2 linked regions of the Drosophila melanogaster genome follow. Each later gene encodes a partner of the first gene's protein in a complex. Each region holds a gene or a part of one and is shown on either strand. Other genes may lie near its edges.

Region 1 (7,387 bases):
TTATTTAATTGCTTGGTACTGTAAATCCAAATTTATTGTTACGAAAACTAAAGCAAACTATGAACGGACACATGCCGATGCTCTCATTCCTGACTTGTAAATACACTCATCAAGTACACTAGCAGGAATTGGGCTGGAGCAGTGGCCAGTCGAGCACATTGTGTACGCTGCATTTCTAATCGTATATTAACTTACATAAACCATGTTCTCTCTGATAAGTCAAATAAGCTATTGTTACCAGCATATTCGAGTAACGAAACAACCAATATCGTGCATAGCTGATAGTGATATGTACACGTACTGCGTTCTATATAAACCAATATATACGACATCTAGAGAATCACCGGGTTCGGTGATATCGCACTTTTGTAAATACGCGCAAATCCCCTAGTATGAGCAATAAACCTATCTATATGTGTGGATTAACATATAGTGATATTTAATGGCATTTGATGTTTAAGTCATTTCAATTCCCAAAAGGGCAAATTTAACTTTAGTCTGCATGATGGACTTGCCTTCATTCATTATTAAATGTTCCACATAAGCCATTTCGGTTTGTAAAAGCTTTAATAATAATTTATCTTACTATAATTGAGTCTGTACACAGCTCTGGCTTGTCGAGGTCTCAATTCATACAGCAAATACTATTTTAATCCTACTTTTGTATTCCATTGATCGACGCCGCATTGGCAGAAGCTGGCGACATGCAGTTACCATCTGGATAACGCTTCTGGAACTGCGTAATTAGCTCCGGATCCACCAGTCGAATGCCATCCAGTTGGTTTCCCAGGGTTATCCAGTTCGGTTGGATGTTGTGCGGACGCCCAAAGAGCTCGATCTTGCGAGTACCCGGGCTTAGACGCTCGATAATACCATAAATCTCATCCGGCTTGTGAGAGGTGGCCCGCACCTCCGCAACGATCACATCGCAATCGAGTCCGCGGTTCAGGTTTGTGGGATTGCCTTTCATGCCCACCAAACAGTGCTCCTTGCCGTGGTTTAGCCAATGACCAGTGCGCCCAGTGCGAATAATTCGCTGCAGTTGGTTGGTCTTTACCCAGATGAGTTCGTCCACGCGCTCATAGCCCCACAACTTGAGGCAGTCGCGGCCAAGTTCCATGGCTCGTCCAGTGACCCACAGAAAGATCAAGCCGTCATCCTGAAGTGCCGGCACGCCCAGTGCTCTCATTTCATCGTCCGACATTGTGCCGTAGGGCAATTCCATGTGGATATCCCAGGGAGGATCGGCCATCACCACAGCGAACTTTCCCAGGACCGTCATGTCCAAGAAGCGTAGGTCGCATTGAATCCATTGCGGCGGATAGAGCGTGCAACTGGAGTCTACGCTGCGCTTGAGGCTCAATTTGGTTTTCACATCCGTGGGCTTGTTTGTGTTTATATGCGGCAGGGTGTCCACCTCATAGTGCACGTACTTGCAGGTGGCCATGTGGAAGCAGGTGTTTAGGAAACTGCAGTCCCCCAGAGATTCGTCCGTGTGAGCCTGGATGATCTTTTTGAAATGCAGTTTGGTGCACTTGTCTGTTGTCTCACTGCTGCAGGTATCGCTGCCATCGGTGGATTCCTGCGACTCGGCTTCGCAATTGTTTATAACCTCCGCAATGATTTCTCCATCCTCGGCTGCCGATTCTGTCTTGGGTACCTTACCGGTGACGTTTTCGCCCGCATCAACATCCGGGCGAAGCTCCTTTTCGTCTCTTCTTTCTTGTTTCTTTTTGGCCGCCATCTCGGCGGTGGCTTGTTGAGCCTTCAGGCACTCGACTTTTGTGCCGTGGGAGCAAAACTCCATGACCTGCGCTCCGCCGTGGGACTTAAACTTCTCAGCCACGGATCGCTCTTTGGCCGTAGGCTTAGTAAGCAGCTCAAGAATCTCCTCGCCCACCTGCTTACTCTGTTTTTCGCGGGTGGAAGGCATGGATAGCAGCATCATAATATCGTCCGGAGCATCCAGGCTTGTGGACTCTTTCCGCGCTACAGTGGACTCCAGTTTTATTGTCTTCTCCTGTGGCTGATCAACATCGTCGACTTCCACTGTAAAATCAACAGCAAATTATTATAATTATTAGACTTATGAGAGTAGTAATTTCTGTGAGACCCACACTTTCTCTTGGCCTCCTCCTCCTTTTGCTGACACGTATCGTTGGTGTCTTCCAGGATCTCCTTCAGCTCCTTGGGCTGCACAGAGATGATTTCGCAGCCGGCCTCGGTGCCGATGGTCACGTTCCGGATCACAATTGCACCCTGGTTGGCCAGTTTGCCTAGAATAAAGTTCACCATCTCCAGGCTGCTGCCGGCAATCTTTTCCACCACCTGTGTGGAGACAATGGGCAGGGCCAGGGAGCAGGAACTGAGGGCCTGCAGCACCTCCTTCTGTACTTCCAAGTCAGCCTCAACTGGAAATGCAAAAATATATTCATTTTTGTGGCTCCAACTTGTTGCCATTGCCGGTGCTCACCGAGTTCCTTTTTGGGATTCGTCAGATCCTCCTGAATGTCCGAGAGAATCTCAATGCGCTCCTTCTTGCGCTTTTCCAGCTTCTCGCGGAGCGTGTTCCGCTTTGTCTTGAGTGATTTTATGTCCCACGCATCTGCCATTGTTTATAAAACGCTGCCGGCCTTTGGTAAACAATGAAATTTTTTTTACAAAGGCTCGCAGTGTGACCGTGTTCACATTGCAGGTAAACACGTTACATTAAAATACTAAACTAAGGTAATCTACTTATACATTTTACACAAGTAAATTTTAAATTACCATCAAGAACGTTAAAAGGGCCAGTGTTGGAAGTAGGCTGGTATTCAAAATTAAAATTAAAAAACGTTGAAAGTATTAACATTGCTGTGCCCCCATTATATTTCTTATTCTAATTTGTATGATCTATTGGACCACACACAGTTATTTATTGATTGGTATATACGATTTTACCCGCACCGCCCAGTTGATATTTTCAAGGAATCCGCTCTGGCCACACTGCTCCGCTCCCCATCGCAAAAAGCGGAAGCTGCAACATAGCTGCTCCGCAACATTTTGCCAAATAAAACGTGCCGAAACGCATAAATATTTGATGAAAACCGCTCCAATCGTAAATAATAACCCAATCAGTTTAACCTGTGATCGACTCGCGATAAAAACGCGCGCGAGTGCTGAAGAGAAATAGAGCGAGTGCCGCCTTTTGCCTGCTCCCCGAAATTCGTGGCGTTTTCTTTTTTGTTTATGCGCGCAAGAGAGAGCAAAGCATTAAGTGCGCGCACTCAAACACAGTCACACGCGCGTACACAGAAGTGGGGATTTGCGAAAATCTCGTCTATGTGTGTGTGTGCACATAGCATTTGCACACATTGTTATTGTTGGGTCGTGATACAGAGAGGGTGACAGAGAGAGAAGAGAGAGCGAGAGTGAGGCAGCTGAACTGGGGCCAGATTTATAACGCGACATTCGCACTTTTACTCTGGAGCATGACGGTTCGTTCGCGGCACTTTCGACGCGATCCAAAGCTGCAGCACAAGCAGCAGCAGCTTCCGAGTCCGTTCCGAATCCAAATCCGATTCCGAGTCGCTAGCAGCCGAGGAGAAGGAGCTGTCTAATCCGCAACAGATTCCGCAGCGCGTACATACATATTGATTCAGTGCGAGTGCAGTTGCAGCGCGCGCCCCATCACAACAACAAGAAAGAAAGAAAGAACGAAAGAAGAAACCCACACACCCACCAACCACCCCTCGTTTTTCACTGTGTATACTACAGCTCTTCGCTTCTTTTTTTAAGGCGGCGGCACGCCCTTCCCCAACGTGCGTGTATGTCCGTTCGTGCGTGTGTATATGTATGTATTGGCGGGCTAACCAGAAAATCGACAAAAAAAAACTTTCGAAATATTGAATTGTGAAAACTATCAGAAAATCTGAAAATTATGTGCCTGCTCGACGACATATATTCCCCAGTTTGCATCGAAATAATGTGCACCCCAAGTACATAAACAACAGTTAAGAACACAAAAAATACCTTTCGACGGGAACCAGCAAAGAAACAACATGAAGATGGTCGATAAGTCGTCCAAGTTGGTGGATAAATTTGCCGTAATCAGCGGCACCGGCGGCAGCGGCCCTGGAGGCGGTCCGCTCAACCTGCAAAGTGGCGGAGGAGGCGGCGGTTCCGGCGGCGGAGGAGGAGTCTCCGGATCTGGTGGCATATCCGGAACGGCTGGCTTGTCCGCCGGAGCAGGAATGACCACTGGCCAGAAACCGGTGCCCATGAAGCTATTCGCCGCCTGGGAAGTGGACCGAACGCCGCCCAATTGCATCCCAAGGTGAGTGTAAACAAATTTCACTTATGTACATACATACAAAATGCGACGTAGGGACAGTAAAAGCATAGTTTCTTGCCAATTTTTGTTTTGTTTTGGTTAGTTTTGTTTTGCTTTGTCAAAGCAAGACACAAAAATGCCAACTGAGTTAACAAGATTGGTAAATGTTACTTAACTAGTCGGCGATGTAGCTAATTTGTTGTTGAAGCCATCACATTGCCACAAAAGTTAATCAAGATTATTTGTATAGCTTAGCATTGAATACATATAAATTAAAAAAGTATAAATTTTGCCTTGCTTAAATCAGCTTTAACAAAAACAAAACCCTATCATTACTATTCCCTCGAAGTACTGAACTTAAAGGTTATACATCTGATAAAAAGATAATACACAACGTCAGTTTGTTTACAGCTTATTGTTGATTTTCTGCCAATTTGGTTTCGTGCCGCGGTTTTCGTTCGATTGGGTTTTGTTTTGTTCCTATTTTTAGTTAACAAAAGCAGCAACTGCGCTAACTGTTATTTAAAAGGTATTGTTGTTGCCGCTGACAGCGCTGATTTTTATTTATTCGCATCGGCACAAGAAATCGAAAAAGTTTTTAAGTGCATTATGAAAGAGATTGACTTTTAGGAATTAATCGATTTTATGGTTAGCCAAAACCATAAAAGTTTCAAATACGCTGTTCTAAGGAGGTAATTTTAAACTACAATTCCTGGAATACAAAAATTAAAAAAGGTTTACGTTCTTGACCCCTCTAACCAAAAATGTAGTAAAAAACAATGTCGACATTTTTGGACGTGATAGTAAATCTGACCGCAATTAAATCCCAACCTAACCCAACATAATGTTAGAGATATGATGGAAGATTTGAAATTAAAGTAAGGCACATAAAGAATTATGAAATAATGAAGGAAGTAACATGTTATTTATATTGTAACCTAAGATCAAGGGGATATTTATAATGAATGTCAGGCTGAATAATCGCTGTATAATCAAAACAATATTTAAAATATGTTTTATGACACCTACCAATTGTGTATAAATTATAGAATTTATAATTTCGCAATCTCTGTTGATAAGATTCTATCTTTGAATGGCGATCCGCAAATAAACCCGTTTGTTTTGTGGCATTGTTTTGCTTGTTTTCTTCTTTCATTCCACACGTCTTGTGCCATGTCTTTGGCCCAGTAACCCCGAACCCGAGATGAGTAATGCCCCATCTCATCTGGCCGCTACTCTTTGGGGTTCTTCTGGTCTGGCTGATAAGAATTAGCGGCCTATTTGCATGCGGATGAGTCAGACTTTGTCCAATTTGGCTCAGATGTTGACTCTGGACAAAGATTAATCTATAATTGGGGCGGACACCACACTGCGTCGCACAAATTAGAAATTAGCCAAGGCAAGGCGCACTTTTTGTCCGAGTTTAATCGCTTTTGTGTATTTTAAGAGCTCTCAAGGCGATAAACTGGTCAAGTAGACGGGCATTAATATCAAAACAGCCAAAGGCCTTGAACACGCCCATTTTCAAAGAAAGTTTAAGCAAGTAAAGAGTAAAAAAATCTTTTTAAGTTGTCAATCTACAAAATACATGTAAAATGAACTTTTAAACTGAAACAAAATGAATATGATTCGAATGTTTTGTATGTGTATTAAAAACTGAAGTGTTTTACAATTTATCTATTATTTTTCACTGTGTAGAAGGACCATCAGGCGGTTTGGAAAGTATTTACTAAATATTTGATGGCCAAGGCCAAATGTGCTCCTCTCGCCTTCTTTTGGCACCTCACACCCCATTTGGTGGCTCTTTTTTGTCTGTTCGAAAGGTCATAAACCGCTGATGCCGCCTATGTTTTATCTTTGGGATACACTTTTCGAGTTTGGGTTTGAGTTTTCCGTTTTTGTTTTGCTTTGTTTGTTTATAATTATGCGCTCGCTTGGCTGGCTTATAATTAGAAACTGAAGCTAAGCAAGCAAATTTGGAATTTTTCAGTCACCAACTTTGAACTTTTCGCCCGAAAAATGAAGATGGGGTTGAAACTTTCACCAGAGCCCAAAAAAGCCAGTAAAGATGGCATATTTTCCAGTTGGCTAATTAAAAATCTCATTCTGCCTAATTGCAGCCGAAAGTAAATGTAATTTGTAGTTATGTCAGTGCACCATGTGTCGTCACATTTCCTATTTCCCTGTTTCCCTACGACTGCGCAAATTGTATCTTTATGTTGATTTTATCTACGACCGAATGCGGCACGTAGAGCATATCCAGACTTTGATTAGGACTCACGCGGCATTAGCGTAAGTTTTCCTTGCGGTCGCCAGACGTACGTGACCCGTCTGATCCGGCGCATTTGCCTGACGACCCGGCCGATGGCTGGCTGATTCATCCGGATCCGCTTGACCCGTCAGAGCAATCAAATTCAAATCAAATCAGAAAACGGAATAAAGAGGGCAAACACACACACACACACATCTACTTGGTGGCAATGTCAGGGTGTGAAATGCATTCAAGTTCGAGGCGTAGCAAATTATCCTTGGCAAAGTTTGTATCTGTGTATCTCGTTTTAATTTGCCTGATTTGTCTGAGGGTTGCGGAAAAGTTGTGTGCCAATGCTGAAATACAGAAATTGCCGCACTGTTAATTCACTTTCATGGAAGATACGAGTAAATGAAACTTTTTCCATTCTGATTAACAATGCGTCGAAGGGGGAGGTGAATCACCATATCCTTATCTTCTGTTATACGCAGCAATTTACTTAATATTCTCATAAAACTAGAGGGTTTTGCACCGCATTAATTGGATTGGTTCTTCTTGAGGAACTTCTTTCTTTTACTTTTGTAATTGGAATACTTTTCCATACAATTTTCTACGAACAATTTAGATATGACTCGAATTCTTATCTGAGGATCTTGAGAATATTTGACATTTACTGAAAGTAATTGAAACTCCATGAAGGCTAGATTTTATTAGGGATCCGCTATCTTTATCTTTATTAACATACCACATTATTTGGAGTGCCTTTATCAGCAGGACACTTTTTGGGAAACATTTTCCAAACTGTTTGCTTGCCAGCCTTATCA
Region 2 (9,336 bases), on another chromosome or scaffold:
GGCACTTGAAGATGTCGCAGATCGGAGAACTGGGCAGTGGAGCCGGCAACGGCGGCGGCGGCGGCGGATCCATCCGGGAGGCGGGCGGTTCATTTGGCAAAATGGAGGCTGCTCGCGAGGAGGAGTTCTTCTACAAGCAGGTGAGCTCTTTCTACTACACCAGACTGTACACGAGGTAAAGATTCCATGTTTCCCTGCAGCAAAAGGAGCAACTGAAGAACCTGAAGACCAAGACGGAGCCTAAGGCACCAGAGGCTCCCAAGAAGTGAGCCCAACCAGGAGCTTTGAACTCCACTAGCTTAACTATGGTTAGGCTGGATTGTCTGAATTGTATTTAATGGGAATGGTACTCCAAATATATTTTGTTTAATTTACAACTGGTTGTGTATTGGATAACTCCCATCCCTGATCAGCTGATCGCCCCGCGGCTCACCCAAACTGCAAGCCTAAACTTTCCCCAGACCGCTCCACTTCCATTTGTTTACGAACAGCGCTGCAAAGCGGAACAGCCGACAGATAAGCGTCAGTGTAAGCGCAGCTGATAACGGGCGGCGGAGTGGCGACCTAAAGACGCATGGACCGCGCAGGCAGATGGAAACAGTTCGCACCGGTTCGCTCGAGTGTGCAGTAGATGATCCAGCGGCAGGAATGGCGGCCACGATCCAGAACACCCTGAAGGTGGCGCTGCGAAAGCGCATGAAGGATGCACTGAAGGGCATCGACGCGGAGGCCATCGCCCGGCAGTCGCAGGCCGTCACGGCTAAGGTAACATTGGTTTGGCTGGGCCCCAAGGTTATCAAGTTAATTCCCAATCCCCCTAATCGGCTCGATCGCACAGGTGCTGCAAAGCGAGATCTTCCGGCAGGCGCAGCGGGTGAGCATTTACCTGAGCACAGCCTCGGAGCTGGACACCACGGCGCTGCTGTCGGAGATGTTCCGCCTGGAGAAGATGGTCTTTGTGCCCACCTACGAGGGCAGCAGGATGAAGATGGTGCGGCTGCGCGGCATGGAGGAGTACGAGAGCCTGCCTCTGACCAAGTGGAACATAAAGCAGCCGGACTTCAAGGAGGCACGCGAGGATGCCATGACCAACGGTGAGTGGCTAGGCATACATCAGAGCTCCTTCTAAACCCACACACACACACTCGATCACCACAGGGCACGGCATCGATCTCTTCATTGTGCCCGGTGTGGCCTTCACCCGCTGCGGAGCTCGGATGGGCCATGGCATGGGCTACTACGACAAGTTCCTCAAGCAGCACGCGGAGAAGTATCCGCACAAGAAGATCTCGCTGATGGCACTGTCGCTCAACGAGCAGATAGTCAGCAACGAGGAGTTGCCCATGGAGTCGCACGACGTCCGTTTGCACAGTGTAATTACGGAAAACTAACTTTTGGCTTACATACAAAGTGGGAAGTAAAGCGAACTAATACGAAAGCAACACACACTATTAAGTATTGGAATTCAGCTGCCCAGCGGGCATCTTAGGATCTAGTTCTGGTTCGTTTGCCGAGTTTACGGGAAGTGTCAGTGAGAAGCGGGTTGGGCTGCAATGTCCTCCTATCTCAGGTAGGATGGCCTGGAACGCAGGCCTCGTCCACGCGGCCGTCCACTGTAGTGGGGCGACGAATAGTGCGAGTCGCTGCTACTGAAGTGGGAGTCCGAGGCAGACCGATACGATCCGGGGGACTCTGCCCAGCTGGAGGGCGAACCAATGCGCATCATCTTCTTTTGCCTGTTAAAAGAGTAAAAAGAGCCCATTAGCGTTATCCTGCTAAGTGGTAATCGTGACACTTTACCTAAAGGCAGCTGCTGCCGAGATTCGAGATCCTCGGTTGCGACCCACCCGGGAGCCTCTCAGCATTGAGGGTATCTTGTTGTAGCCGGTGGGTCCTGTGGGCTGGGCGCCACAAGTTTCCAAGGCCAGGAAGTCGTCCACGTGCAGCGATGGCGGTCGCGAGGTGTTGGGCGGCCGGGAGCGGAACAAATCGCCCCTGGAAGGTGGTGGCCGAGCAAAACCACGACCCCTTACCGACGACACAAACATCTTCTTTTCGGGTCGACCAGTCGCGGGCTCAACTTCCACACGGCGCGTGCGGAAACAAGGCGCCGTGGGCGTCATCTCCCGATTGGATTGGGGCGAGCCGGATAAGTTCATGACCCGCTTGCTATCGCCAGCCACATTCAAGTCCGGATTGAGGCACACGTTGGCCAAATCCGTGAGATCGCAGGCAATGCGCTCGTAGATCGGCTCGTTCATGTCCTCGATCAGTTCGATGGGCAGCGGGTCCAGCCAGTAGCGCGCCGTTAGTTGGGCATTCTCGGCGGTGGCGCAGAATCGCGTGAAGATCGGACGCGCCTCGTACTGTGTGACAATGCCCTCGGCCTGTGGCAGATAGGGCTCCACGGTCAGAGATGCACTGCAGCTGCTGGCAGATGGATTGGCTTCGCCCTCCGCCTCTGGTGGCGTCTCCGTACTGGTTCCGGCGAGAATCTCCTGCTTAGAGGCCTGCAGCAGGATCAGCTGCTTGAGGTCGCTCAGCGCCGCCTCATTGGCCACTGCCTTATGCTTCTCCATGACGGTGAGAATGCGGCTCAGCACCGGTGGCTTGGCCAGCTCAATGTCCTGGAACTCAACCAGCTGAGCCAACTCTGTGGCGCCCAGTTTCAGAGTGCGGTGTGGCATGGCCGACATGGCGGGCGGCGGTTCTATTTGGGTCAGAGAGCGCAGCAGCAGGATCAGAGATTCGATGTTGGCATTGTACTCCACCGTTTCGTTGTGAAGGATCACGCGCTCCATCCACGCCTGGAACTCGGTGATCTTTTGCTTCAACAACTGCGCCAGATGGTAGAAAGTGAAGCTGGCGGTATAGATAATATTAATATTAAAAGCGTGCGAGTGATATTCAGAACTTACTCGTGCTCCGTGAGGATGACCAGATTGCGCACCGCTAGAATCGATATGCCATGCGTGACCTCCACGCTTGTCAGGTTACTGAAGACCGCATCGATGATTCGCGGAATGAGCTCCTTGGGTGGCAGTGCGGCAGCCAGATTCAAAGCGGGCGAAGCCGTGCTCTTGTGCGAAATCAGCGAAATGCCCGAGTCTAGGAAACTGTCCAGAATGCGGTGAACGGCCTCCTGGCAGTTGGAAACCACGTCGTTAAACTCGTTCAGTGCCAGCAGCGACTGGAAGAGTTCCCAGAACTTTCCGGAGAGTATGGACAGCATGGAGCTCTTCAAAGGGGCAAAAGCGCACAAGCGAGTGGAGAAACGAAGCAGCCGTTCCAGGTTGGTGGTCGGAATACAGTTGGATGTCTGGTACTCATTGCACAGCAGTTCCGTGATCGTCTTGGCGATCAGCAGCGTCATGTTGGGCGCCAGGTCGGACAGTTGCATGCACACTCGCTGCAGTAGTTCGGACAGCTGCGGAAAACTGGACGGAGCCAGTGCCTCCACCAGCTTGGCGATCTGACCGCTCTGGGGATGCAAGTGGGCGGACCACAGTTTCCGCTCGGTAATCAGACGCTGCTTGTGCTGCTGCTGCAACTGGTCGCATAGCGGCTGGGGCATAGGCAGCGGCAGTGGAAGCAGCTCCGCCAAAAGTTTCAGTCCTGTACGGAAGGAATCATTAGATGGATCAGATCTCTTGCAAAGTCTAGCTTACCAGGAATGAAGTGCGCGGGACCATCGACATTCTTAAGCACCTCTCTGATCATCAGGGTCCAAAGGGACTTGTGCAGCGACTCCTCGTCTTGTTCGTTCGGCTGGGTGTAGGCGAGCAGGGTCTGGACCACCTCCATCTTGCACTGCTCCACCTCGGGTCCCGCCTGGCAGCGCGTGGGGAAGTAGTAGAGCAGGTAGTACACTTTCACCAGGTGATCGATGGCTGTGAGGTCCTTGTAGGTGCCGTCTCTGCACAGAATCGCGTAGGAGAGCAGCTCGCGGAGGATCTGTAGCGTTGGCAGCATGATCTGGCAGCAATGCACTCCCTGGATGGTCATCAGGGCGGGAGCGTGCGCACCCGGCTGCTCGAAGTAGGCGCATAGTCGCTCCATGATCTGGATGCAAAGTTGGACACCATCCGCCGCGTACAGCTGCAGGGCCACGAACCTATGTTTGAGCTCCTCGGTCACTGGAGGAGCTTTCTGACCTGCCAGCGGCTTGCTTATGGAGAGATAGCGCAAAATCCGCATGGCCATTATCAGATCTCCGGGAAAAGTGGTTAGGTAATCCAGGGAGCGTCCTATCACCTCCACCAGCGGCATAATGTCATCGTATACGAACACATTGATGGCCTCTAAGGGTTTCATGTACACGTACATCTCCTGCAGGACGGCCGACACCGAGGGCTCGAAGGTCTCGTGGTTCTTGGCCAGCTCCAGGATCACACCTCCGTGCTCGATAAGGTAGTCCAACTGCTCGCAGTAGCGGACGCAGGCGTCCACCATGTCCACGGCATAGCTCAATACCGGACTCTTGTACTTCGTGCCCGGCGAACTCAGCTGGCGTTGCGTCTGCAGACGCTGCTCCTTCTTGATCAGATCCATGAAGATCTTAAGATTGTTATTCAAGCCCAGCACCTCCACGGTGTGCTGCCGCCCAGCCGGATCGCAGGTTTGCGAGTAAATGGCATGCATATGCGTGGCCAACTTGACGGCATCGTATTCGGGAGCCGCGGCAGCGTAAGCAATGGCGTCCAGGTGGTAACGCGTCTGCACCTTGTACGACATTTCGATGCCCAACCTGGCCAGGCGTGGCAGTACTGGGCGCAGGATCGGCCTGGGTCGCACTTGAGGAGCAGCAGCTGGAGCTGGAACGGAAATCGGGGCCGCAACTGGCTTCCCCTCCTCGTCGGCCGTCGGTGGAGTTGGCTTCTCGCCTCCAGCTTCCACAGCTTCATTTTCGACCTCCATTGCCTTGTCCTCTGCATCCGACTTCTCTGCCTTCTCCTCTTTTTCCTCCGGGTTTCGAGGAACCTCGTCCAGGCCCAGCAGTATGGCCACAATCGTCTGCGTTACAGGAAAAGCATCATCCACGAAGTAATCAATGCCGACATGCGAGCGCAAAAGGGTGTGCATCAAGTCTAGCATGCTTAGATACGTCGTGGCCGGCAACTCCTTGCAGTTTGCCAACATGACCAGCAGGGATTCCGCCAGTGAGTTCTGTCCCAAGTAGGACTGCAGGGCATTTCCGAAACTGCGCTGCGCCGTGGGATCGGTCACCACCTCGAATTTCTTGGACACGGGCAGAAAGCGACGCGGCTGCAAGTAGCTCAACTGGCTGGAGAACAGTGCATCCATCAGCATCTCGAAGGCAAACTCTATCTGCTGGCAAGTTATCACTGTGTCCTCCATTTGATCGCGATTACCAGGTATGATTATTCGGTCCACGAAGAGACGACGGCACCAGATCTGTACACTCTCCAGGCCTTCCCACAAATGCAGCTTCTTTATAATCGCCTGCAGTGCGTACTTCGTCCTGGTCAGCTTGGCTGTCTTGATGGCTTCAACAATCATCTGATAGCCGTTGTTCTTCGCTCCCATAAAGTGTTCGATACCCATCCTGGTGTCCAGCAGGGCGTAGACGGCCTTGAGGAGCTGAAGCTTGATGGACAGAGCCATGTACGGTTCGTGGTACAGCCGGAACACCGCCTCAAAGATATCGAATTTGTGCTCTTTCAACAAGTGCTGGAAGAGCTCTTCGCTACTGCCCAGAAGTTCAGCCATTCGCGCACCCAGCTTGATGTGGCGGATCTTAAAAGCTGGCTGTGGTTGCATGCATGCCGCCTGGAAACTCAGGGCAATCTGCAGCACGTTAGCCGCCTGTCGCAGATGTAGCTCATCGTTTCCGAAGAACTGCTGCAGGACAAAGTTCCTCCGCTTGTAGTGCTGGGCTAGGTAACCCAATTGGTTGTTCAGTTGTTCACCCAAGTACACAAATTGCTCCCTTTCGTCCACACTAGCGCCATGTTCCTCGCTGAAGGCATTAACATTCTCACAGCGGGTTTGCAGGACCAGCTTCTTAAAGAGCAGCTTCAGAGTTTCCAGCTCCTTGCAGAAGTGGGCTGCCATGTCCCCTTCAAAGACCAACAGTGGCTTCTGCCACGGCTCGAAAGCATCGATGGCCGGAGGAGCAGCGGCAGCAGCAGCCTCCAACTCCCGCTCGTACTCCGCAATGGCAGCCGCATCCACTGCGTCGTCCTCCTCGTCGTCGCCGATGATCTCGTCGTCACTGAGAATGGGCTCAAACTGCTCTTGCGGCGTGCACGATCGGTCCTCATCGTCCCGATCCCGTTCACCACGGTGCAGCGACTCGGAGGAGTGCCGGTAGTGAGATGACTGCATCTTGTAGTGGGAGCGCGAGTCCTCGTCCTCGTAGTCCATCGTGTCTGGCGAACGCGGACGTGTCGGTGAGTCTATCGACGCGGGCGGGGTTCTGGGCCACTTGTGCTCGTCCACAACGGAGCGAGATCTCTCGGAGCGCTTGCGACGTGACCGATGGCTGGAATACTCCGGTGAACGCGACCAATCCCTGGAGCCCTTGTCGCGGGAACTGCAATGAAAGGTCTGTGATAAGTCTGAATATAATAAATAAAACAGATAACCACTTACCACCTGATGTACTCCCTGTCGTTGCTCTCCGAATGCGTGTGCGATCTTCTGGGCGGTGGCGGTGAGTGATCCGTGGAATGCGTGGACCGACGCAGTCGTCGCATCTCTCGCTGCTCCTGCTCCTCGGCATGCTGGTGGTAATGATCCCGCGACATTCCATACTCCATGTCCTCCGGATCGTAATCGCTGACATTTCCTTTGTGAGCGGTCAGCAGTTCGGCCTGCATCGGCTCCTGCCACTCGTCTTTCAGCACATCCTCCTGGAGGAGCACCTCGCCACTCAGGTTGGCTATCTCCGGGCCCACGGGCTCGCAGGGCAGCGTTGGACTGGCGATTGGCTCGGTCACCGAGTTGGTGAAAATGCCGTAGATGGCCAGTGTGATGGTGCTGTACCAGCCGCGCAGCACCAGACCGTCGGTGACGATCTTCTCCTGCGAGCAATCCAAGTGAATGCAGTCGTTCTGGTTGTAACGCAGCAGGCCGAGGTTCTCGAATGCCGACGCAGCCGGCATTCCCAGGTCATTGACGAAGAACTCCAGGTCGAACTTGGAGGGGTTGGTGGCGCCCAGGCGAACGCCGCCGGGAAAGTCTGCCTGGACTCGGGCGCCGAGAGGAATGATCCGCACCTGTGTGATGAAGACCGGCTTGGGAAACTGCACCAAATCCAAATTGATGTCCTATGAGGAGAGGAGGAAGTGGGGTTCAGCGAATGCACCGAGTGGGGGCTTCTGGAGGCACTTACCGTCACTTCCTCATGCGAGAAAGTGTCGAAGAACAGCAGCTCGGACCCGTCGTCTACGTCGGCCATGTTGTGTGCTTAAATCGAGTCTTTTTCAGTAAAATCTTCTACAGTCCGGAAGTTTTATTTATTTTCCGCAACTGCTAGGGATGGAACTTAAGACGATAAGTGATCGATATCATCAATTGCTCTACTACAATTGGTAGGGGTATTCAAGAGGGTATGCTTTAGAATATGTTGAATACATCTTTAAAAACTAAACAAAAATTGTCTCAGTCTAGTAGCTTGCGCAAAACAATGCATCAAATTTTAACGTCACAATTGGCTCATGTCTAGAAATGAATTGGATTTTTTCTCAATATTCCCCATTTTTGGTAATGATGCTCTCAATGTTTTCTAAAAGATTGTAAAATAGCCCTAAAAACCATAGGCTTAAACCTAACGCAGGGAATCGCACTGATTCAGAGTACATTTGTTTCCCTTCAATGGACGCACGCAAATCATGTAAATTTAGTTATTATCAGTAATTCAAAATTTACTTCCTCTACAATATTATCAAACTATAATTCGAACCTCTTATTATAAATAAAGTGTGAACTATCAAAAACGAAGTAGTGAGAACGACCTATAAGAGTTCCATAAAATAGTCCCATACCATATATATCGATAGGCTCGTGCTGGGTTGTCGATAAGGGAAATGTTTTGGAGACCGGCTGCAGAGAAAAACGCGGATTTTGTTTTATTTCTCTGTTTTGTGTATTAAATCGCCAGATGCGCAGCTTAATATTGTCCAACTCGTGACCGACTAGCGAATTGTGTGGAAAATGAGGATTCTCCTTGTTTTCTGCAAGTTCTAGAACCGCAGTGGCGCTTGAACACGCAACCACGTGAAATCCAGCAACAACAAGTCTGCGCAACATGAATTTGGACGAGTTCTCCGACTTCAATATAGATCAGCTTCTGGGCCCAAGCGCACCGCTGCAAGATGCTCTGGTGGCGCCGTATAAGCAGGTGTCGCTGCCCAGGAGCAACCAAGATGTGTACGCCAAGCGAAGCCGGCTGGCCGAGCGAATAGCCCAGAACGACGAGCTGATCCGCCAGGTGAAACAGCTGCAGGCTCAAAACAAACAGCTGGCCGACCTGCAGCGCACCGCCCAAGAGGTGACGGATCTGTACCAGAAGGAGAAGCAACAGAGGATCGAGCTGGAGAAGCGCACCAAGCAGATCGGCGAGCGATGCGGACAGCTGGAAAAGGAGCTGGACGTACAGGTTGGGAACTGCGAGAATCTGCAGGAGCAGCTGCAAGTGCGGGGACTACCCGTGGAAGCCAAGGATGTGCTGTCCATACTCATGCAGTTCTCCCAGCGGCTGGGCGACGATTGTGGACTTTTGCGGCGGGATCAGAACATCATGAAGAAGCTAAGGGAGCACTGCAAGACTATAGACGTAAGCGTGCCCACGCCAAAGAGCCCGAATTCACGTAGCAAACGGAAAGCCCATCAGCCCGGAGTCAACCAATCTACGCAAACCGACGAGGAACCCGCTGATCCCAAGCCCGCGCTTTGCTCTGTTGCTGTGCAAGTGGAAGGTCTGATAGAGACGCGCAACCAGGCCACGCAACACAAGAACACCACCACCACCCGGGGAACCACTACAGCCTCCTTCATCAAGCACCACGATGTGGGCACATGCTTTCCCGAACCAAAGCCCCTGCCAAATATTCGGCAGATACTTGATGAAATGCTATCGTGGCGAGATGATGTCGTAATTGAGCCCATGAGTCCGCTGAGCGATCTGCAGCAGGAGTTGCAGCTCGAGGACGTACCGACCAATGCGAGTGTGGCCACCTGTACCACTTTGTGTGATATACACCGCGAGATTGATTTCGTTACCGACCTGCCGACACAAATAAAGGTGTCCGCCTCGAGGCCGCCCTCACGAACAATGCTGGATAGTGTAAAGGAGGAGGCCAGATCCTCCAG

Evidence for each region.
Region 2: Mettl3 (region 1) and vir share a complex: the UniProt entries of both Drosophila melanogaster proteins name them as parts of the WMM complex.

The regions. Positions count from the first base shown.
Region 1 is NT_033777.3:24,027,422-24,034,808, reverse strand, and holds Mettl3 (methyltransferase like 3), read right to left. Parts: upstream 2,653-7,387; 5' UTR 2,613-2,652; coding exon 2,474-2,612; intron 2,412-2,473; coding exon 2,118-2,411; intron 2,050-2,117; coding exon 656-2,049; 3' UTR 552-655; downstream 1-551. Other genes in the region: KrT95D (krueppel target at 95D), read left to right, coding at 4,041-4,315. UniProt on the Drosophila melanogaster protein: Catalytic component of the WMM complex, a complex that mediates N6-methyladenosine (m6A) methylation of mRNAs, a modification that plays a role in the efficiency of mRNA splicing and is required for sex determination.
Region 2 is NT_033778.4:23,358,832-23,368,167, forward strand, and holds vir (virilizer), read right to left. Parts: upstream 7,525-9,336; 5' UTR 7,424-7,524; coding exon 7,358-7,423; intron 7,293-7,357; coding exon 6,616-7,292; intron 6,557-6,615; coding exon 3,669-6,556; intron 3,616-3,668; coding exon 2,919-3,615; intron 2,863-2,918; coding exon 1,801-2,862; intron 1,737-1,800; coding exon 1,562-1,736; 3' UTR 1,392-1,561; downstream 1-1,391. Other genes in the region: CG34423 (uncharacterized protein), read left to right, coding at 2-140, 201-269; Mthfs (methenyltetrahydrofolate synthetase), read left to right, coding at 649-765, 839-1,094, 1,159-1,391; Ice1 (uncharacterized protein), read left to right, coding at 8,273-9,336. UniProt on the Drosophila melanogaster protein: Associated component of the WMM complex, a complex that mediates N6-methyladenosine (m6A) methylation of mRNAs, a modification that plays a role in the efficiency of mRNA splicing and is required for sex determination.